4 linked regions of the Ovis aries genome follow. The protein of the gene in region 2 interacts with the protein of the main gene of each other region in a pairwise test. Links are inferred from orthologs where the notes say so. Each region holds a gene or a part of one and is shown on either strand. Other genes may lie near its edges.

Evidence for each region.
Region 1: the proteins of ZC3H12A (region 2) and AHSP interact in binary tests that used the Homo sapiens proteins (3 or more experiments, as listed by UniProt). The two-hybrid records come from large-scale screens. The link is inferred for Ovis aries from reciprocal best matches to the Homo sapiens genes ZC3H12A and AHSP.
Region 3: the proteins of ZC3H12A (region 2) and P4HA3 interact in binary tests that used the Homo sapiens proteins (3 or more experiments, as listed by UniProt). The two-hybrid records come from large-scale screens. The link is inferred for Ovis aries from reciprocal best matches to the Homo sapiens genes ZC3H12A and P4HA3.
Region 4: the proteins of ZC3H12A (region 2) and BTRC interact in binary tests that used the Homo sapiens proteins (3 or more experiments, as listed by UniProt). The link is inferred for Ovis aries from reciprocal best matches to the Homo sapiens genes ZC3H12A and BTRC.

Annotation. Positions count from the first base shown.
Region 1 is NC_056077.1:28,060,850-28,065,633, reverse strand, and holds AHSP (alpha-hemoglobin-stabilizing protein), read right to left. Parts: upstream 2,964-4,784; 5' UTR 2,900-2,963; intron 2,724-2,899; coding exon 2,649-2,723; intron 2,398-2,648; coding exon 2,194-2,397; 3' UTR 2,032-2,193; downstream 1-2,031. UniProt on the Homo sapiens protein: Acts as a chaperone to prevent the harmful aggregation of alpha-hemoglobin during normal erythroid cell development. Specifically protects free alpha-hemoglobin from precipitation.
Region 2 is NC_056054.1:12,300,078-12,306,352, reverse strand, and holds the start of ZC3H12A (endoribonuclease ZC3H12A), read right to left. Parts: upstream 4,046-6,275; 5' UTR 3,998-4,045; intron 3,164-3,997; 5' UTR 3,084-3,163; coding exon 2,689-3,083; intron 1-2,688. UniProt on the Homo sapiens protein: Endoribonuclease involved in various biological functions such as cellular inflammatory response and immune homeostasis, glial differentiation of neuroprogenitor cells, cell death of cardiomyocytes, adipogenesis and angiogenesis.
Region 3 is NC_056068.1:52,347,071-52,351,906, reverse strand, and holds the end of P4HA3 (prolyl 4-hydroxylase subunit alpha-3), read left to right. Parts: intron 1-380; coding exon 381-449; intron 450-1,771; coding exon 1,772-1,868; intron 1,869-2,860; coding exon 2,861-2,931; coding exon of another isoform or gene 2,932-2,989; 3' UTR 2,990-3,476; downstream 3,477-4,836. UniProt on the Homo sapiens protein: Catalyzes the post-translational formation of 4-hydroxyproline in -Xaa-Pro-Gly- sequences in collagens and other proteins.
Region 4 is NC_056075.1:22,066,737-22,072,450, reverse strand, and holds part of BTRC (F-box/WD repeat-containing protein 1A), read right to left. Parts: intron 4,468-5,714; coding exon 4,218-4,467; intron 3,731-4,217; coding exon 3,612-3,730; intron 2,401-3,611; coding exon 2,290-2,400; intron 903-2,289; coding exon 824-902; intron 1-823. UniProt on the Homo sapiens protein: Substrate recognition component of a SCF (SKP1-CUL1-F-box protein) E3 ubiquitin-protein ligase complex which mediates the ubiquitination and subsequent proteasomal degradation of target proteins. Recognizes and binds to phosphorylated target proteins.

The sequences.
Region 1 (4,784 bases), on a different chromosome or scaffold from region 2:
TACTGCCTCCTTTATAACTGATTTCTTCATCCTGGCAGCGCTCACCGTCTGACGTTATATGTAGTGTGATAATTAGTTAGTGTGATAATTTCTAGGTCAATCATATTTCCTTGATTTTTAAATAGCGTTTGTAGGTATGTGCCTCTGCTTTCTGCTTAGAATTCAGGTTACAAATAGCAGAAACCTCCTTAACTAAGCTTTGAAGTCTTCTCTTCTTAACAACTCAGCAGGCAGGCTGTTAGAATCCTTTCTTTTGTTTTCCAGAAGGTGGCGCTACAGCCCGCTTGTATTTTCCCCCTTGGCCTGAGCGCCCTCTGTCTACTAGGGCTCACTCTAGCGGAGGTGCCTGGGAGCCGGCCTCAGAGTACAAGGAGGTATGGGTTTAGCCCTTGGGGTTCTTGGGGTTCTTGGGGTGCCCACAGTTTGTAGGGGTTTCCTTGGGTGAGGTTCTCCAACTGGTTCATGGGCAGAGTTCTTGCGGAAGTACTGGAGCGGACAGCAGGAAACGAACCATTAAAGCCCGGGTTCTTATGTTTCCTCCCATGTTCCCCTCTCTCCCCCTAGTTATGGAGATCCCTCCTCAGAAACCTGGGTACTGCTGGAGAGAAATGGGTTTCTCCAGTTGGAAGGTGCGCAGCTAGGAATGGGAGGCAGTCACTCACCCCTCGCGCTTGCCACCCACTCTGTGAGAGGGGTCAAGGCTTTCCACTTCCTTTGCCTGAGGGGGGCAACCCTGCTGCTGTGAAAAGCTCAACCCTGGTGGAGTCGCCCTGGGGAGACCGGCCGCCTTGGCGAGTTCCTTCCTCTCGCCTCCAGCCTCATCCTTACCTTGATCTAAGGACATGCTGACGGCCCCTCCAGGCAGTCTGGACTTCCACAAAAGTCTCTCCAGAAGAGTCTTTTGGTCTCTTCCCAGTTTGCCATCTCCAGGCTTCACCCTTCCACCCCCTGCCCCCTTGTGACCAGTGGAGATAGAGGAGATTTGTATCTCCCTTGGATCTGCAGCCCTTACTGAGGTCCTATTTGTTAATTTTCAGATACACAGGTGGGTTAGAAACCTCCTGGGCTCCTTGATGGAGTGTGCAGAGGCACTTTTGTTCCCTTATGGATGTCTACTTAGTTGTTTGAAAAGGGAGAGGAGGGACTTCCCTGGTGGTCCAGTGGCTGAGACTCCGAGCTCCCTATGCAGGTGGACTGGGTTTGATCTCTGGTCAGGGAAATAGATCCTACATGCCACAACTAAGAGTTTGCATGCTGCAACTTAGACCTGGCGCAGCCAAATAAATAAACCTTTTTTAAAAAAGGAGGAAGGGGACAGGGAGAGAAAAGAGCAACTTAACCCACCGGCTATATGCCATCATCACACCATCTGTCTGTGCTGATATTTCTAACTCCAATCCATTACCACGTAGATTATTCTAACCACCCCCCAACCTTGCTTATCCTTAAATTCCCACTCTGACATTGAGAAACTCAACTCCCATTATCCACCATGTATGTACGCCTATCGTTCATTTCCAATGAGCATGTGCAACAGTATCAGAATTATTAACCAGCACTAGGGCACAGTGCTTGTATGCAGTTATCTGTGGCTTAGTCTTATAGATTCCGTCATTTCCACAGTCTGATACATTAGTACATTTCATTCCCCAACCCTCTACAGTGAGGCTGTCTCGTATTTTGTCATAGTTTGACTCTCTTGTCACATGCTGCAGTGTAAGATAAACGAGACTGGGAGGTTCCAAAAACTTTCTTCTAGACAGCATGTCACAGGACCATGCTTTCTGGTGAGCCTCTGTCTCCTTCTTTTTGTCCCCTTCCCTGTCCCTCAGCACTTACTGTTACGCTCTGTCAGCTGGCCCCTCCTTCAGGCTATTTTAGTACTTCCCAGTGCTTACTTAAGGCTGCAAACCTCTGCTCTAAGAAGTTTGATCTTCAAGACCATATTTAGGAAGCAGGGCTGAGGGAAAAGGGACCAACTGTCTTCATGATTCAGGGATCAGAACCAAAGAAGAGCCCACAAGCCAGGAAGACCACTACAACCAGAACTGGTCTTTATTGAGGTGTCAGGGTGCAGCAACACCATGAAGGAGCAGAGCCCGAGGACTAGAACACAGAGGCAGCGTTTAAGGGTTTCTTAGACTTGCAGCCTGGGTCTCTGGGCTAGGAGAAAGGCAGCGTGTGAGGGGCTGCTCACGAGGACTTCAGGAAGTTCCTATATTTCTCCAGGAAAGAGGCAGACAGGGTATCGAGCTCTTGCCGAAACTCCTGCAGAACCCTGTCCTGCTCCTGTTGCTCCCCCGACAGCTGCTTCTTGTAATAGTTGATGTAGAAGCTCACCCAGTCGTTCACCACAGTCACCATGGCTTCTTCGGAGATGGCAGGATCACTGAAGACCTGGAGGGGACATAGGGTGGGGTGGGGGTGGGGGGGCGATCAGAATTTGGCACAGGAGACCCGGCTCAGACATGTGACTCAGGAATAACCACAAACTCTGACCTCCTTTTTTCTCTGATTTGTATTCCCTGTCTCTCATGGTTCCCGTCTAATCCACCATTACCCTCCCCGCTCCAAGTTATTCTCCTTTTTCTGTCCTCGCCCACCTCCCAACACTTCAGGCCTGTCCTCTGAAACAGCACCAGGCTTACCTGCTGATTTAGCAGGATGTTGAATTCCTTTATTCCTTTGGAAATGAGATCCTTATTGGTCTGAATAAGGGCCATCTGCATGGTTAGAGAAAGAGATGAAATTTAAGTATCCTTTTCTCCCAATCTCCTCACTCCCCCCCCCCCCCCCCCCCCCCCCCGAGGATCCCTGGTGCCCTGCAGGGTCACTTCCCCTGCACCACCTTTCTGGCCCTGAACTGCCCTGAGATCACATTTCTCCCCGGCTGGCTCACCTTCAAGTCCAACGGTGCTGTGTAGGTCTCAGCCACACTTTTCAGGCTCTGGCTGTCCCTCTGTGCCAAGCTAGATGTAGACAAGGGGTTCGGTGTCAACCAAAGAGGGAAACGCCCTGCATTTCGGTCCTGAGGGAGGGTGATATGTCAACCAGGGGAGGGGAAGGAGGGAGAGGTTTCCCTGAAATTAGGAAGATAGCAAAGCCAAGAGAAGAGATAAGTGGGGAGACCCAGAAAACCACACCAGGGACAGCCTTGCCTTCCCCGCCACATCCCAGAAACCAGGTTCCAAAGGCTAACAAAATTAACAGTGACTGATCCCCCACTGCAAGACAAGAACTTTAAAAATCATCCCCCTATAAGTGATGGCAATTATTCTTCCAATTTGTAAATGATATATTCATAGCAGCTAACATTACAGTTATGATTTGTGTGAGGCATTGTTTCAAGCAGTATTAAGGTATTTTTTCTTGGGAGTTCCCTGGAGGCCTAGTGGTTAGGATTCAGGGCTTTCAATGCTGTGGCCTAGGTTCAATCCCTGGTCAAGGAACTGAGATTCTGCAAGCCACACAGCATGGCATTAAAAAAAAAAAAAATGAACACCTCACAAAGTATGTATTCTTATAAAAGCTTCCATTAGTCCAGTTCCAATAACAGTCATAATTTTGCAGATGAGCCATTTGTAAGATGGGAGGACTGGACGCTACCAGGCTGAGTTCCACTGGAATGGACACACATTATTCTTATTCTCTACCATATCATCAGGTACTTGACAAAGCAAAAATACCCTTTTTCATCTTTAAAAATATTTTCCTAATGTTTTCCATTTTAATAGATTTTTTCAAATTTCTAAATCACCGTATACTAATTGAAATAAATGAAACATTATAAAAATACACACTGAAAAAGTGGATCATTTTTGCTCCTTCCCCCAACAAAGTAGCCAGGATTAAAGAGATATGTATTTTCTGTCACATCTTTCTCCATTCAAAAACCAATGTTCAGGGACTTCCCTGGTGGTCCAGTGGTTAAGACTTTGCCTTCCAATGCAGGGGTTGTGGACTTCATCCCTGGTTCAATCTTTGGTGGGGGAGCTAACATCCCATATGTCTGGAGGCCAAAAAATGAAAATATAAAACAGAAGCAATTCAAAAACAATAACAAATTCAATAAAGATTTTAAAAATGGTCCACATAAAAAAATCTTAAAAACAAAAACCAATGTTGATATGCTTTTTGTTTATTCCATTATCTTAATTAACATACAGCAAAATTAACTTCCTTTTGGTATACAATGTATGGATTTTAATATATAGATTCATGTAACTACTACCACAATCAGGATACAGAACATTTCCATCACCCTCAAAACTCCTTCCTGCTACCCCCACTCTGATCTCTGGTGGTGTTTTAGTCGCTAGGTTATGTCCGACTCTTGTGACCCCATGGACTGTAGCCCACCAGGCTCCTCTGTCCATGGAATTTTTTAGGCAAGAATACTGGAGTGGGTTGCCATTCCCTTCTCCTGGGGATCTTCCCAACCCAGGCATCAAACCCAGGTCTCCTGCATTGCAGGCAGATTCTTTACTGATTGAGCTATGTGGTAGTCCCCTCTTATCCCTAAACCCTGCCAACCACTGATCTGTTTGCCATCACTACAGTTCAGTGTTTTTGAGGATGTCAGTGCAGGAGACCCACGTTCGATCCCTGGGTCGGGAAGATCTACTGGAGAAGGGAATGGCTACCCACTCTAGTACTCTTGCCTGGAGAATCCCATGGACAGAGGAGCCTGGCAGGCTACAGTCCATAGGGTTGCAGAGTTGGATATGACTGAGCGACTAACACACACTATGATGGAATCATATAGCGTGTAACCTTTGAGACTG
Region 2 (6,275 bases):
TCAGTACTGAATCATCAGTAAGCCTCTGAGGAGGGGACTGTCATGAGAGGACCTTTGCCCTTTTATTCAGGTGAGGAAACTGGTCCACAGAGGGCAACCAGTTGCCAGCATCACAAGTAGCGATGGTCAAACAGGGATGCACACCCAGAGGCTGTGCTCTTAACCCCTACGGGTGCTGATGCCCGATCATACAAAGACAAATGACAGCCCTCACAGCAGGCTTGAATGCATAGGCACCAAGCCCAGGTGCATGGCATAGCTCCTTGGCTTCATCCTTACAAGGCTCTGAGATGCATCTAAAGTTCCCTGGCTACTGGTAAGAGGTCGAACTGGAACCCACATCGGATTGCCTTCGGACCCCTAACAGGAGAGCTAAGGTTCTTTAGGAGAGGGAAAAAAAAAACCCAACAACTTCCAAACTTGAGTTTGAACAAAAGGGTTCAGTGGGTGGGGCAGGCTGGGAACAGGGAAAATCATGCATCTGGCAAACTCCTGCTCCTCTGTCAGGGCCCCAGGTGGGGTGTCCTGACAGCTCCCCATCCTCCTGCCGCCTTCTGCGCACATGTGTGTACCTGCACACGCCCCCTCCCAGGCCAGCACCCACAAGCCCTGGGACTTCGGGGTCCACTGGGGCTTCCGGGACAGAGCACTGCTTATGGGAATCAGAAACCTTAGCAGGGGACAAGTCTGCTCTCAGTCGTCCCAGTCCCCAGGATATTCCTTAAGCAGTCGAACAGAGCCTTACTCTTGGCAGAAGTCGAGCACGTGTGGCGGTCCCTCGAGTCAAGCCCAGATCCTGCCCTCCCAAGCCAGGAGCGCCTGTCTGCAGCTAACCTCAGTCCTTCTCACTGCCTGGGAGGAAGCTCTGCTGGCAGAGGAGAACCAGACATCCTCTCACCCTCACCGCAATCCTGCTGGCCCAGAAAGTCAGGGCCCCTCAGCCTAAGGAGACACTAGACGACGTGTGCTTCTGCTGGAGACTCCAGACTCCCACCCTGGGTAGAGGGCAGGGCTACCCAGGTGAAAAGATCTGCCTGGGCTGGGCCCAGCAAGTGGAGAAAAATTCCCTTAGAAGGAAACAAGAGGTGAATTTCCCCACGATTTGCATATGGTAGGGGCTGGCCCGCCTGCCCTGGGGCGGGAGGGGGCAGGAGGGTAGGAACCCAGCAGCAGCTGAGACAGGAAGCTAGAGGCTGGAATTCCCCTTTTGCTACTGCCCCAGCTCAGAAAACCCCGAGCGGCTCGGCCTCTGGCCAGGCCTTCCACCACCTGCCCCTCCCCCTGCCCGGCTCCTCCTCCTCCGGCCAGGATACAAACACACACTGCACATGGCTGCCCCAGGGCTCAGCCTTCCGGCCCACGCCCCCCAGAGGAGGGAGTCGCTAAGGGATCCCAACTCCTGACCCAGTCAACTGCTACTGCAGCCCGAGAGGGGTCCCCCAACTCTCAAAGCACGTAGGGTGACCAGCTGCTGTGGGCTTGTGGATGCCAGCTTGCCTCAGTTTCCACCTAGGCTCAAACCATTTCAGAGATGGGAAAACAGACCCAGAAGTGGCTGGAGGAGGGCCACCTGCATATCTACTGAGCTAGGCCGGGCCCAGGCAGACAGCTGAGCTCGGCCAGGTATGGGAGGGGCAGATGGGGGGCAGGAAGAGGACAGAGGCCTCATGAAGCCCACCTGGGAGAGCCCTCAGGGAGGCGGGGGAAGGAGTCCTTCCCACTCCACACCCGTGTCTGGGGTCTCCCCATCCGCACCTGCAGGAACTTTTCCTTATGAACTAGACACCCAGCCCTGACTCACCAGCCTGCCTTGAAAGGACAGGGAGAAAGTGAGGCCAGAGGGCAGGGATGAATGGAAGGGAGGTCTGGGTTCTCTGGAGTCAGCAGCAGCACCCCCCCCCAACTCCCCCGCCCCCCCATGAGAGCCTGCATAGGGGAAGAGGTGGGGATGGCTACTGGGGCCCAGGCCTAGCTCTGGTCCCTGGGGGACCCTGAGAGCCCAGTCTAGCCTAGGTGGCTCCAGCAGAAGCAGAGGCGACCCAAGTCATCAAGCCCCTGGAGCCAAAGCATCAAGCCACCCGACCACACCCCTGATGTCGCCAGATCCTCAAGGTTACTCTTGGTCACAGCTGCAAAGGCCTTAGTAGCTGGGCCGGCTTCCACGCGAGCCCAGGTCTGAGACAACAAGGCCCCAGCAGTCCCAGACCCTGAATAACAGTAACGATAACAACTACCAATGATGAACAAGCCCTTCTCTCCAGGTTCCAGGCATTCATTCCTCACAAGCACCACCTGAAGGGTGGTGAGCCCCATCTCATAGAGGAGGAAGGCGGCTCCTATGTGAATAAGCTGGAGCCCACAGTCTGATCCCTCATGGAGAGCATAAGGCAGCTCTGGAGTCAGAAGGATCTGAGTTCGAATCCTTGCTACAGCACTTATGAGAAGTGGGCCCCAGAGTAACTCTTTAAGCCCCCTCAAACAGCCCTAAAACCCACTTCCAAGAAGCTGTGAGGATTAAGGGAGACTCCTGGCACACAGTAGGACCTTCATAAAGGGCTTTCCCTTCCTCTAGACCAGTCTAGAGAAGAGACCAAACTCCTTCCTGAAGTCCCCTCTATAAGAGATGTAGAGACATGGCCACCAATCCCGGCCAGAGGCCACGGTCTTGGACACAGAAGTGACATGTACCTCATGGCCACGTTGCTCCCATCGATGACTATGGGTCTCAGGTCACTGCCCTCCTTGTCTTCCTCGGGTGGAGAAGTCTCCACGGTGGGAGCCTTGGGGGTGCCCCCACCCCGAGGGACCAGAGGCAGCTGAGGGCAGGGATCCGGCGATGCCTGGCGCTCCCGCTCGGCCGCTGACCCATGTTTCACCAGCTCCCCCAGCACTGTGTTGGTGTCTGCCTGGACGCCCAGCTTCTGCAGGACACTGTGGATCTCAGCAGATGAGTAGCCCAGCTTCCGGAAGAAGTCAACCTTCATCTGCAGCTCTGCAGTCGTTGCCTCCTCGGCCGTGGGCTCCTGGGCCGGCCTGGGGGTCCCCTGGCAGCTGCGGCGGTCTTCAAGTTCCCACAGGCTCATGGTGGGGCTGGCTTCCTGCCTGGGCCTCTCTTCACTGGCCACTCACAGCTCAGATTGGTGGAAGGCACTTTTCACAGCTCCTGTAGGACAACCAGGAGGGTTAGGGATGGGACTGGATTTCCTGCTCACCTCCTTTCCTGTCCCTCCCTCTCCATCCAACAATATGGGTGGCAGTATGCAAAGCCATCTTGGCCTTTTACCTATATTATCCTCTCAAAAGCCTTCCCAGCTAGAGAGCATCACTCCCATCTTATGAAGGAGGAAAGTTCAGCTACAGACATTAAGAACGTACTCAAGGTCATCCAGCTGTTAGCTGGTGACGCAAGGATTTGAACTTGGGCAGTCTTACCCCTCCTCCCATCCCATCCCCAGCACCCACCCCCGACACCCGCCAACCAGGGGACCCAGAAATCGTGGGAGGCCTCCGAGGACCTGACCGCGCCCCCACGGCAAACGGGGCGGGGCTCTCATGTGGAAACCCGCTGGGTTGGAAGTGCGCTGGAAGGGGGTGGCGGGGGCTTCCCCGTTGAAGCCATCGCCTCCTCGCGTCCGTCTGCCCACTGCTCGAAGCCCAGGCCGGGAGGCGCGGGGCCCGTGGCCGGACTCCCGGGCCGGGGGAGGGGAAGTTTCCAGGGCGACCCACCAGCGAGAAAAGTTGCTGGGAAACTCTGGTTGGCCTCCGGGCTCGGTGACGCGGCCCAGAACCTCGCTCTCGCCCGATTCCCACTCCGGACCTCGGTCTCCCAGGATCCTCCGACTTGGGCAAAGTTGGAGGAGGCCCCGGGGATCGGCAAGGCCGGAGTGGACTGGCCCCACGTCCCTCCTGCTCCGGTCGGTCTCAGCTCGAGCCCTTCCCACCCCCTCCTCCCCCGGCCCCGGAGGCCTGCTCCCCCTCCCAGCCGCGAGCGCCTCACCCTGCCGTGCGCCAGCCGCGGCCGGCGGCGTCTCCATGGGGCCGAGTCCCGGGGGCCAGGCCGCCAGCGACTTTATACGGGGCGAGTGGGCGGGCAGGTGGCGCCCGGGACCGTGACGCGGAAGCCGGGCAGGGGAGGCGAGAGCCGAGAGCCGGCTCGGGCGGCGAGGGGCGGAGCGGCCACCGCCCCTTCCTGCTCCGCCCCCGCGCCGCTCCGCCCCGCCCCGCCCTGGCCTCCGGCCCCGCCCCCGCTGCCCCAGAGCCGCCGGCCCGGCCTGGGATGGGGGCGGGGGCGTGGGCCGCAGCCCCTTCCTCTGAACCTCTGGGCCCTGGCGGTGGGGAGATCTGCAGGGCAGGAGTGCACGGCTCGCAAGGCGTGAGGTAAGCCCGGGCCAAAGCAGGTACGCACATCGAGTCAGTCACGGGCGGACCAAGTGTACAGGTCCGCGTACGTTCAGACCTAAGTGTGCAGAAGGAACAGTCCGGGACGATCGAGTGAACAGAGTATACAGTTTGGTTCACACACGGTTGGAGGCAGAGCCATAGTTATCAAGACAGGTACACTCAGGCAAGTAACTTTTCACATTGAGAATCAGGAACACTCAACAGGTACAGCGTGACTGGAACAGGTACACACAGAACTGGGGCCCCACCCAGGGCCAGGTACAGTTTTCTTCTGAAATCAGGACCTTGTCAGAATAGAAAGGCAGGTACAACCTGCCTTGTTCCAGCTGAAAAGACTTGCATCCAGGGCCAGGAGCTCCTATTCCAGGGCTCCAGGTGACACCTTTGTCGCTTTTGAAACCCCCAATGACTCCACCTAGCCAAGTCCCTGCTTTGTTGACTGGTCACCTTTAAACCCCCCCCCAAATACCTCTTCTTCTGTGCCTCCCGGGCACAGCAACCCCAGGGGCTGGCCTCCAAGAGAGGGAGAAAATGAAGCCGCCTCAGATGTTGCTCACCACCACTCCTGCCCAGTGCTGTGTGTGCCTTAGACCTAATCTTCACAACAGCCCCTTTTATAGTTGAGAAAAGTTCAGTGAAAAGTGCAGTATAGTTAGACATTTATTCATTGTAGTAACTCCTTTATGGTAGTAAAAATATTAAGTAATGAGTCCAGGTTAATAACCATAATGAAGATAAACCAACCACAGCGATAATGCCTGGCATTTATGGAGTACTCACTGGGTGGTGGGCACTGTGCCAACGCTGTGCAGACACTTCCGTGCCTTTGCATCTCCTATCTTGGCCAGGAGTGCCCTCCCCTTCTTCCCTCCCTGCTGCTGCCTGACCAATTCTATTCCTCTTTTTGATGATGTCACCTCCTCTGTGAGGCCTGCCCAGACTCCTTTGGTGCTGAGTTGCTTCCTCCTCGGTGCCCCCACAGCATCCTGCCTCTGTCCCTACGTGCTGGATTCTAATCGCTGGCCAGGGACCGCCTTCTGGGCCAGGACTGGGATGGGACTCCGCCTGTACTCCTGGGCCCCGTGCTCCCCAGCACTGTGCCAGAGGGAGCCGGCAGTACTGGGCGGCGATGAGTCACGCAGCTCTGTGTCCTCCCAGAGTGAGCCGCAGTCTCGCTCTCTTCCGGCTCATGAAGGCAGCTCTTTCCCAAGAAGCTGACTCTGTTCTGCAGAACCCAGGACTGCTCCTGGGGAAACCCTGCTCCAGTTGTAGCTGGAATGGCCTCAATCCCCAGGAGCCCTCTGGATCTAATGTGCCCAGCCTTTCTCCCTCCCCCAACCATTCTTTGCACACCTATCTTGCCAACTTCCTTCCTGGAGCCTTCTTGCTCTCCTGCCACCTGGCCAGCCTGGGTGGGGTCTGCAGAGGTTCAGGACTGGTCACCCATGGGTGGGGGACAAGGAGAGGCTGGAGAGGGAAAGGTCCCAGGAATTACCTTGGCCTTTGGAAACTTTCCCCCACAATGGCTCAGCGGGTAAAGAACCTGCCTGCAATGTGGGAGACACAGGAGTCTGAGGTTTGGATCCCTGGTTTGGGAAGATCCCCTGAAGGAGGAAATGGCAACCCACTCCAGTATTCTTTCCTGGGAAATCCCATGGACAGAGGGGCCTGGTGGGCTACAGTCCATGAGGTCATGAGGAGTTGGACACGACTGAGCAACTGAGCCCACCTGAAATGAAGAAGAGAGGCTGGACCAAATATGATTTTTTTTTTCTTGGAAGCTCACTGGGCAGCTCCGTCTGGGAATGACACAGGAGCTAGATCAATGCTCTAGGAAGGGTGGGCAGGCTGCTGCGAAGCCTTGGCAGTGGGCT
Region 3 (4,836 bases), on a different chromosome or scaffold from region 2:
TGAAACTTAGGGACATGTCTGTGTGTCTTGGGCTGTGATATAAACTAAATTTCTTCCTGAGGGTCTCAAAGTTTGGACCTACTCATGGTAACCCTCAATAAGGATGTTAGCTGGAAGGATAAGGATGTTAGCTGGAAGGGTAAAGAAAGGGGGGATTTCTAAACGTTGTCCTCTCGTGGCCATGCAGGCAAACACTGATGCCACTGAGTAGGCTGTCTTCATTCCTAAATTGGGTGATTGTCTTTCCATAAGTATTGCTCCTAGAGTCGAAAGAGGGGCACACAGCAGGGAAATTTATGCAGAAATGACATCATATGTCACAGGGAGCAGAGTAAGGCAGTCGGGCTACTTCAGCTCTGGCTTTCCCTCTGGCCTTGTAGTTGAGCTCGGTGGAAGCCGGAGGAGCCACAGCCTTCATCTACGGCAACTTCAGCGTTCCTGTGGTCAAGGTAAGTGTGGGTCTGATGCCAACGGGTGATTTTTAGGATTGTTCAAACTAACACCTCAACTTTCGTGCTGTCTGTGCTTGCACGCCTGTCCTGGGAGGGGCCAAAAGAGAGGTCTTTCTTGATTTCCAGAATCAAAGATAGTTCCTCAGTTTTCTTGACTACTGCATTTACTTGTATCTCTATTTATTTAAATTTTATTTACACTTGTATTACAAGTAGATGCCTTCCTATTACAGTAGAACTCCTCAAAGGTGAGAAATCTTTTATTCCTCTTCAGAATCTCAGCAACAACTGGTCCCTTCAATCATTCTTTCAGTAAATACTGGGGACTAGAGGCACTCAGAGTACAGAGGAAAGGTCATAGTCCTTGCCTCCAGGAGCTCACCGAGAGGTTAACAGGCAGTAATGGAATATACTGCAAGAAGAGCTAAAAAGTCAAGCAAGGCATTAAAGGAGGGCCAATGTGGTAAGAGGTTTACTTAATGAATGAGTATCTCCCCCAAATTTCAGAGCAATCAATCAGTCAATCAGGGATGACAGCCCTTAATTACTTCAGGAATGAAATGAAGACAAATAATTGAGATCGTGCCTTCTAGCACTTAGCACAGTGCCCAGCACATCCTAAGCATTCAATAAGTAAATGCCGGGTGTTTAGCAAAATTCAGCGGTTTGGCCAGGGATAAAGTAAGTGTATAGGAGAGAAATCTGAGTATAAGAGGTAGAAAGAATAGAAGATTTGGAGTCAGAACACTTGGGTTTGAGTTCTGACATTGATCCTCCTTAGTTACATTATTTAAAGCCCCTAAGCCTCAACTTCCTTTCTGCTAAGGTGGAAATGACAATGATGCCTGCTTCCTGGGGGTGTTATTAGGAAGTGCCTAAGAAAGGCTAAGCATCAGAATGAAGTTCTTAGTTGTGTGAGGAATATTTTGCTCCCCCTTGTGCTTTTTGTTGAGTGCCTGGCCTCAGTGATCCCGTGACACCCTGTGCTCCCCTTTCCCCTGACACCTGTCAGTCTCCTCCTGGTTTGTTTTTATGTCTCTCTCCCACGAGACTATGAGCTCCCTGAGAGCAGAATTGATCATGATTTGTCTCTGCATCCACAGGGTCTGGAGAAGGGCAGGGCCCTGTCAGTAAGGCATCAGTGAATGAGTCAATGGCAACTTGTCTACCATTTTGTGCCATTTTATGTATTCCTTGCCCCCATCTGCATGGACGGTTTTCTTGGTTAATGACATGTATGCATTTGTCCTCAGTCAGGTGCTTCCCTAGCACTGAGACTCTGGGCTGACCTTGCCTGGGGCGGGGTCTGCTTCTTTCAGAATGCAGCTCTATTTTGGTGGAACCTGCACAGGAGTGGTGAAGGGGATGGTGACACACTTCATGCTGCCTGCCCTGTCCTGGTAGGAGATAAATGGGGTAAGGCCTGCCTTTCTGGGCATGGGAAAGGGGTGAGGGGTTCAGGGGAAAGTGAAATCGGGGTTGGATAGAACATAACATAGCCTGTCATTCCAAAAGCTTCGTAACAGGGACTTCCCTGGTGGCCCAGTGGTTAAAACTCTGAGCTTCCATTGCAGGGGCCCTGGATTTGATCCCTGGTCTGGGAACTAAGATCCCACATACTGTGTGGCAAAAAGAAATAAAGAAGAAAATTTCTTGAACTGAATAAAAATGAAAAAACAACAAATTAACTTTAAAAAAATTAAATGGAAAATAGCAAAATTAGGGGAAAAAAAGCTTCATAGCAATGTCACATTATACTGAGGTGATCAGATTCTGGGCTAGTGGCCACCAGTACCTTAGGAACCCATAAAGGGGAGGCTTCTGTCCTATAGCCAGTGTCAGTAAAAGTTGACTGGCCTGACCAGACAGGCCTGATTCCTCAGGACAGCTAAAGAAGAATCAGTGCAAAGTCCCACTCCTCTGTTCCAAGGAGAAAACCATCAGGTGCTTTCCCATAAGGAGAGGTCAAAGAAAGATAAGTAAGGGACACACGCACATCATACATGTGTCCACGAGAACTTAGCTCTTAAGACAGAAACAGTAGAAGAGGGACTCTTGTGCTGAGGTGGACCTGACCAGGGAGGGTCCATGCCTTTTCTCTCACTACCCTGAAATGGTACCCTGTGGGAGGAGGGGCTTTCAGGAGCTACATGAAGGGGAAATGACCACAGTACCCATGGGTTTGAAAATTAAGTCTCTAGTAGATAGGACCTGTGGGGATTTTTTCCAGGGACCACTGCCCTTCTTGCTCTTTATTGCTACTGGAAGCAACATCTTGTAGTCTGTGACAGGCCTGGGACCAAGGTGAGGCAAGCGAGTCCCCAGGGGTATGGAATTTCATGGCCCTGTGAGTATCGCCTCTGTCTGATCTGCTGAGCCTGCTCCTCTGCCTCCCCGTTCTCCCTCAGTGGCCAACAAGTGGATACACGAGTACGGACAGGAATTCCGCAGACCCTGCAGCTCAAGACCTGAAGACTAAAGTGTTGGCAGAGAGGAGCTGGAGGAGGCCTTCGGCTTTCCAAAGAAGCCGGAAGTAAAAAGCTAGGGTAAGAGAGTAGAAAGGGGAGCAAGCTTCTGGAGGAGGCCCTTGTCAGCACTGTCTGTTCCTTGCAAATGGGAGACAAGGAAGTGGTCTCTAGCAGGGACATTGTTTCTCCTCAAGCCATGACTCACAGCAGAATGACCAAGACAAAGGAGGGGGCCCGAAGGCTGGAGAGAGAAGTTTCTGGAGCTCAGACTCTCTTTTGGAAACAGGGCCTATCAACAGTCTCCAGGGTTTGGTCGGTGGGGCCTTCGCCACTTGAGCCTTGACCACAGGGGCCCAGAGTGGCAGTGAGGCCCCTGCAGCCGACGCCTGACTCCCACGTGCCCTTCTGCCCACTGACTCCTGCTGAAGGCTGAGCAGGGGGTGTCTCTGTATCAGGAGTGTACCTCATGTGATGACTTTTTCATAGCAGACAGTAACTTTTTTAAAAAATATGATTTTTAAATACAGCCATTAAAATGTTTTAATAGTCATAAAAAGTGTTTACAGATCATTTTTCACAACCATGAACATTCTTATGTTCTGAAAACAGCAGAGCAGAATGTTTTATTTATGTATAATCTCATCTTGGCTCATCTCCCACCACTCCCCACTCAGTGCATTCCAGATGCATTCTATTTCTTAAAACCGACATTGGTCCCACTCTTCAGGTCTTTGCACTCACTGCTGCCACCGGGGCTGAGCCCTCCTCATCATTCCACTCTTGAATCAGTGTCGCTTCAGAGAGAACTTCTTTGACACCCATCCTTCTAGCCATTTTGTTCACATAGGCCAACTTTATTTTCTTCCTAACACTTTTCTCAAAGTTACTTTATTCATTTAATTGTGGTCAGTTGCCTGCTCTGCATGGTGAGTGCTTTAAGATCCCTCTCTGCTTTGTAAATGCCTCACTCCATTTTTCAGTATTTGTTTATTTGCCTAGCTGCTTGCACTCCTTATACCTCTTGGTATACCCCCCAGAAAAAGGTCTGTTTCAAATAAGTAGGCATTCAGCAAATATTTTTGGATAAATGAGTAAGAAGGCCTCCTTTGAGCTATGCTTTGGAGGACGGGTAGGATTCTTATAGGCAGAGTCTAATGAGGAGCAGCACTTCCCAGCAGGACTGGCATGAGCTAAGGCTGCAGTGATGAGTGACTGATATTTGAGCACTTGTGCAAAATGAACATTCTAGGCAACGTGGCTATTTCCTCAACAGGAGATGAGGGTGTGTGTTGTGCTCACAGAGAAGCCACACAAGTAAAAGGCTAGATGCTTAGAGGCTGTGCTGCCTCTGCCCCCTCCCTGTACCACACACACCAGGATTTCTGCCTCCCAGAGCTCCGTGGGCCCCGAGGAAAAGGTCCTGGTGTGCTGATATCCGGGATCCAGCACAGCCTCTGTGAGCACCTGTCACCAGTAGTTCTGCTGAGTGCATCAGGACTCTGGACGCCCTCTTACTAAATTACTGTCACATAAGTGAGCAAAAACACTTTCCCCCTCCCCTTCTGAATTCTTAGGAGCTCTGAGTTCTGAAACCTCTATAGTAAAAGACATTAACAGGAGGAACATAAAGAAGTTTATTAACATGTATATATCATGTATACATGGGAGATACCCAAGGGAAAATGAGTAATTTCCTGAGGTGGCTTAGAACTCAGAATGAAGTACTGTCTTAAGAGAGAAAGGAAAGAGGGGAAGTAAGCCGCTTAGATTTTTAGGAACAATGAATAGTCCTTAGAAAGGGCCCACAGATGGGAGATACGATAGTGATTGTCTGGGCGTGGTGTCCACTTGTGGTCTCGTCTCCTGTGCAGTTTTCCTTGGTTGGTAAAACTCTCGAGGGAATTTCAGACAACTGA
Region 4 (5,714 bases), on a different chromosome or scaffold from region 2:
TAGTGCTAAAAGAATGAGCTTTACATTCAACAAGGAAGACAAAAGTATCGCTCTCTTCTCCAGAGCAGAGGCTGCCTAAAGTGCTGAGAGGCAGGATTCAGGATGGGCTTCAAATCCTTGCTCTCATCTTTTCCTGAGTTGTGCAGAAGATTCTGTCCTCTATGATACCCCACCTACTCTTTCTGTCATGGAAGCAGCTTTCAAACCTTGGGGCCATTTTCTGATCTGGGCCTTTGGCTAACACCACGAAAAAGAACTTGGTGCTTTCGAGGTGACATTCTTCCTTCTAAGTCATGTCTTTCTCCAAATGTCAAGATGTTTGGGCCAGGGGGTGTAAGAGAATAAAAGAGACAGGATTCAAATTGCTGGAGGCATCATTCCTTAAATGGGAAGTGAACTCAGGGGCGGATCAGGGGGTTCATGCAGCCTCCCGTGGCACTTTTTGCAGGCACAGGTGTGCAGGTCCTCAGATTCTGGACAGGTTCCAATTTGAGTCATTATGTTCTCTCTCCCCAAGTACCCCCTACTGTTTCTAGTGGATACAGAATTCTTATTCACTTCCTGTACTAAACTGTTGTGTAGAGTTGCTGTGCAGCTGTTGAACAGCTGCCACATTCTTCTCCATACACAGTCTCTAAAGCACTTTTGGATGAAAGGCAGCTATATAAACATATTTTATTGTCAAGTACTGGTTGCCTTTCCACTTAGTAGTAGACTTTGTGAGGTTCTAACTATCAAATCCAGATCTGTATTCCACAGCACATCTATGTTAATTTCTTCTCCTTCCTGCTCCTCAAACCCCTCTAAACAATAAGGCTCTTACCACAAGGGTCCGTAGACAAAGAGTTCCTGCAGGTGCACGAGGGTCCAAGGCAGCTACAAGATCCCACACTTTAATTTTTCTAAAGATCAAAAAGGGGACCAAAATCTTAATAAAGAGCAAAATTAAAGGGACACAAGAAAAATAGCAAGAAGTCATGGCAATAAATATATATGGTGAAGATAGTTGATACGATAAATGCAGCTCACAGGATATATAAAAACGTTTTTGATTTGGAGACTCAGTTCATGCATTCATTCTTGGGTAGAGGTTATTAAGTCTTAAAAGGGGAAAATGTATGTGATTAACCTAAAAACAAGAAATAGGTTAGCTTTAAACAAACTGAAGAGAGTGAACAGTGAAGTCACACCATACTTTGGGGCCAAAAGGCGTTCTTATATATTAGAACTCTTAATAGTAGATGAGATCACTTAGAGCTAGAAACCTATAACTCTGAGGCATTTTTTTTCTGGTCAATTCTGACAGTGGCCCAGGTCACACATATCAGAGGACTGGGGTCCATGTAAGACTCTGAGTTGATATAAGCAATATTTAAATAAGAAAAGTTTAGCCCTTCTATGAATCGATTTTATGTCCTGTATCCTCAAGGTAAGTAACAGACAAAACCCAAGAAAAGGGTACAGATCAAAACCAGGGCAGTAAGAAAAATACAGCCTTGGACTTAGCTGAAACATGTAGTCATACCCCCAACAACTTCCCAAGGGTCTGACAGTGACGGCTGACTCAAAGCAGAGGAAATGGGTCTGTTAACACTTACTGCTGCTTGAGTCGTCTTAATGAATCAAGTATAGCCAGCTCGTAAACTAAGATAAAGTTGTAAGTTAGTTTCTGATATTTTTAAAAAGCTGCCAATATTTGAACTGTGGCCTTCCTGTCCTCCACATCAGGCACCCTGATGAGAAGAAATGACAGACAGCATTTCATAAATGAGTTCTCTCTTGTAAGAATATACTATGTGCTCATTAGCGTCGCTGGATGTGGGATCCATCCACAACATGAACGGAGTCTGTAACCACTGGAAAGTAGACTGAAGGAAAGTAAAGATTATTTAATGCACTGTGACTGAAATGCCAGCAGTATACTAAGTCCCCTCCAAAGATACTATCCTCCAACATTTCAATTTTATTAACAAGTCACTATTTTATATCCATATCCTGATATACTAGGGTTTATCCAGTTCTCTGCTTTATAGGGCAAAATAAATATATGAAAAAAAATCCAAAATACTAATGAAAATCATGAGCAAACAAGTATAATTAAATGACTGCGAAGATTATTTGGAAAAGAGTGAACAAAGGAGATGTGAATACATGGATTAGACACAAGAATACTGTATCAGATTCTTTCTGTGATATCTATAATCTTTTGGAGACAAGGAAAGGCTATGTTTAACATTCTAAGGCAGGGGGGATTAAGAGAACTTTTAAAAACCCTGTCAGCACGCTCACCCATCATAGGCTCCACTGACTATCCTCTTGTTATCAAATCGAATACAGCGCACCAATTCCTCATGGCCTTCTAACACTCGTAAGCATGCACCACATTCTATGTCCCATAATCTGAAAGAGAACATTGAGTGGAGTGAATTTCCATGCATTCTTTTCTAAGCTTGGAATGTTATAACAACATACATCGTATGTCTTTTAAAATATCCAAAATATAAAAACCAATCAACACTCATATACAAATATATTACTTTCAGTGTAATTTATTTACTTTCTGCCATAGAAGCAGAAAAATGTACGATTTAAGTTCAAATATGTTGTAAATATTTTTAAAGCATCAAGCTTCATATAAACCTATAATCAGGGTCACCAAGGAATATAAAAGATGAATTTAATGTACACAGTTGCCTAAGAAGGAAAGGGCCAAGCCAAGAAACATAATATTTCTGGAAACCACAATTAAATAAGAATGAGATACAGGAACGGTGACATCCTGCTCTCACAAAATATGTGTACCTCTATCACTGAGGACACCCTCAGCTTTCACCCCACTGTTCAGGACAGTTTTTCTCATATAATAGAAATGCAAAGTAAGTTCTCAAAAATTTTTATATACCAATTTAAATTATGTATGCCTTCTGACCAATCCACATGATTTCTAGGAATGCTAATTTCCTTAGATATAACAATGTCTGTCTGTCGTTTTTTCAATGGCTTTTTCATTCCCTTAGCACTTCTTTGAAGGAGAGGAGAGGGTTGATAAATCTTTCAAATTCTATGCATATGTGTGTCATTCATTTTCATGAAGGGAAAACACCGAAAAGTACTTCAATTTGAGGATTCTTCATAAGTTGTTCATAATTTCGAAGACTGGTAGGTCCCTGGCCCATTATGTAATGCTAAAAAACCCAAAATTGTACAACTTCTAGTAGGGGAACAAATCTATTTTCTTTTTTTAAAAACACTGGCAAAGAGAAAAGCCCTTTAGCTGTTTATTAGCACTTATCAACTGCAGACAGGAGAAATTTAGAGAAGGGCCTTCAACCTCCATTTTTATTTCTCTTGCTCACTTCCTCATTCAAGAAGTTCCTTTTAAATAGGTCTATCTGGTGATAAAACTATTACAGGAAGGAAACACATCAACAAAAGGCTTTGCTGTGCCGTCTCTCTGCTTGGGGCAAACTTTTAACCTGTAAGAAGCCACAGAAAACTGAAAAATGTTTTATTATAAACAGAACACAGTTGACAATTCCTTTGGTCTGTGCACAAACAATAAATGGCAGGATAATAGCAATCCCTTCTGGGCAAGGGCACCTGCTGCTCACCTGATTGTGTTGTCAGATGAGCCACTCACGACCAGCCTGTCTCTGTACTGCAAACAGGCAATTCCGCGTTTGTGTCCATTTAAGGTCCGTACAAATTCACAAGTACTTGTGTTCCACACCTGAAACAGAAATGGCATTTGGCAGTTGATTTGGTGCTTTTATTAGTAAAATCTATGGCAACTGCAGTTTTAGGGAAGCAGAAAATGGGACTGAACTAGCAGGGGAAATTCAATGTCTTAAACCAATCCAAGTCAAATCCCAGATGACAAGTTTAATTCACAGTAATATAGGGCTAATTTGTAGCTGGTTGCTATCATATGAGAAATCCTCAGGTTGATGTGCTCTTATGGGGTCAATCTCGCCTTGTAGACAAATCTTGAACCTAAAATTACCCCTGCCTTTTTCATACTCACCATTATTTACAGGAATAAAAACCTAACCCAAATTGTCACATGATCTATCTGATTCATTACATAAACTAGTATCTGATTTAAATAAATATTAAGTATTCTACAGTGAGGGTTAAATATAAAATTGTCCTTGAGAAGATATCCATATGAACTCCCCTACTCTAAGGTGGGGACTTACTGAAAAATGCCTCATTACCTTTATAGTCCTATCCCCAGATGCAGAAACGATGTACTTATCATCAAAGTCTACAACATTGACTGCAGCTCGGTGTCCGACAAGTACCCTGCGGAGGGTGATGTCAGTTGGGGAGGCCATATCCCATACTGCAATGGAACGGTCTTTGGAGCAGGTCACCATCATGCCATTATTGAAACGCAAGTGCAGAACTGCTTCACAATGGTGAATCAATGTGTTCAGCATTTCACCTGTATTTACATCCCACACCCTGGAACAAAAATATTACGGTTATCTGAGATTGTGGTGAAATTCATGCTACAATCTATTTTAAGTACTGGATTACCTCACTGCCCACCACTCCCACCCTATTTCTCCCAGTTAATGGTATACCTTACTCTCCTTTTGTAGCTCTGAAGTTGAGCTGAGGTGAAGTGTACTAATGGACCATGGGGAAGTGATAGTTAGAGGACTGGACTGGGAAAGCGGGAAGAGGAAGGGGATGGGATACTGCCAGTATGCAATCCTTAAGACACACAACTTGAAATCTGGGCTAGCTGCAGGGTGCTGAAATGAGGGTGCAGCAACCATCACCAGCAAATTGTTCCCAAACTTCAAGATTATCATAAACCTTCTGACATTTAATCTGATACATTTTAAACTGGTGGGAATTTTGCTAATAACTGCAGCGTTGGTGGTCCCACAAATAGCCCTTGGGTCCTAGAACTGACACAGGCCAAGAATCTTCTGTAATAGACTGACTTAGTACTGTGGATTTGAGCTTGATGGCCTTGGGCCTTAGTTTTCACCACACAGATCAAGGCGTAAAATTACCTAGACTCTAAACATAAGGCCCCATTTCTGTGCTCTGAATGAGTGTAGGGATCAAGACCAGCCACCCCAATATAAATATGGGCTTCACAGCAGAGTGCAGGACCCTTAGATAGCTTGAGAAATTTTTGTGAAGGTGTATTTTACTTTGATCACTCATTTTGTATACTTACTTTGTTTTTTTACAATACATTTTATTTTTTTTCCAATTTAACCCTCTCTCTTTGAAAATCATTTTTTCCCTTGTTCAATAAATGATGTTAGCCTCTACAATCTTTAAACTTCCTTAAGGCACTCCACAAGCACCAATAAATGTTAAATGCTGATAACTCTATGAACTGAATTTGCTATGCCTTTAAGTCAAAAGACAAGAAAATGCGAATAGCCCTTTCTATTCACAGAGGATAATTTGGAATGGTAAACATTTAACTTCAGAGAATCTAACAATGCCGTTAACTGCTTTTTTTCTCCCTATTTTTTTAAAGTTACTTTTGATGCATTATGTTTGCTAAATCCTTTAGCTCAAGGCAAAATTCCTAACAGAGGTTTCCAGCAGTTCTGCTGGTACCCAGAACTCAAGCTACACTGGACTCCAGCAGCATAATGGCTGTGTCATCAAATCACTAACGCCTCTGGAAATTGAAGGCCCCTCCCAGAGTGAAGCTTGCAATTAAAAACTGCAGGGAC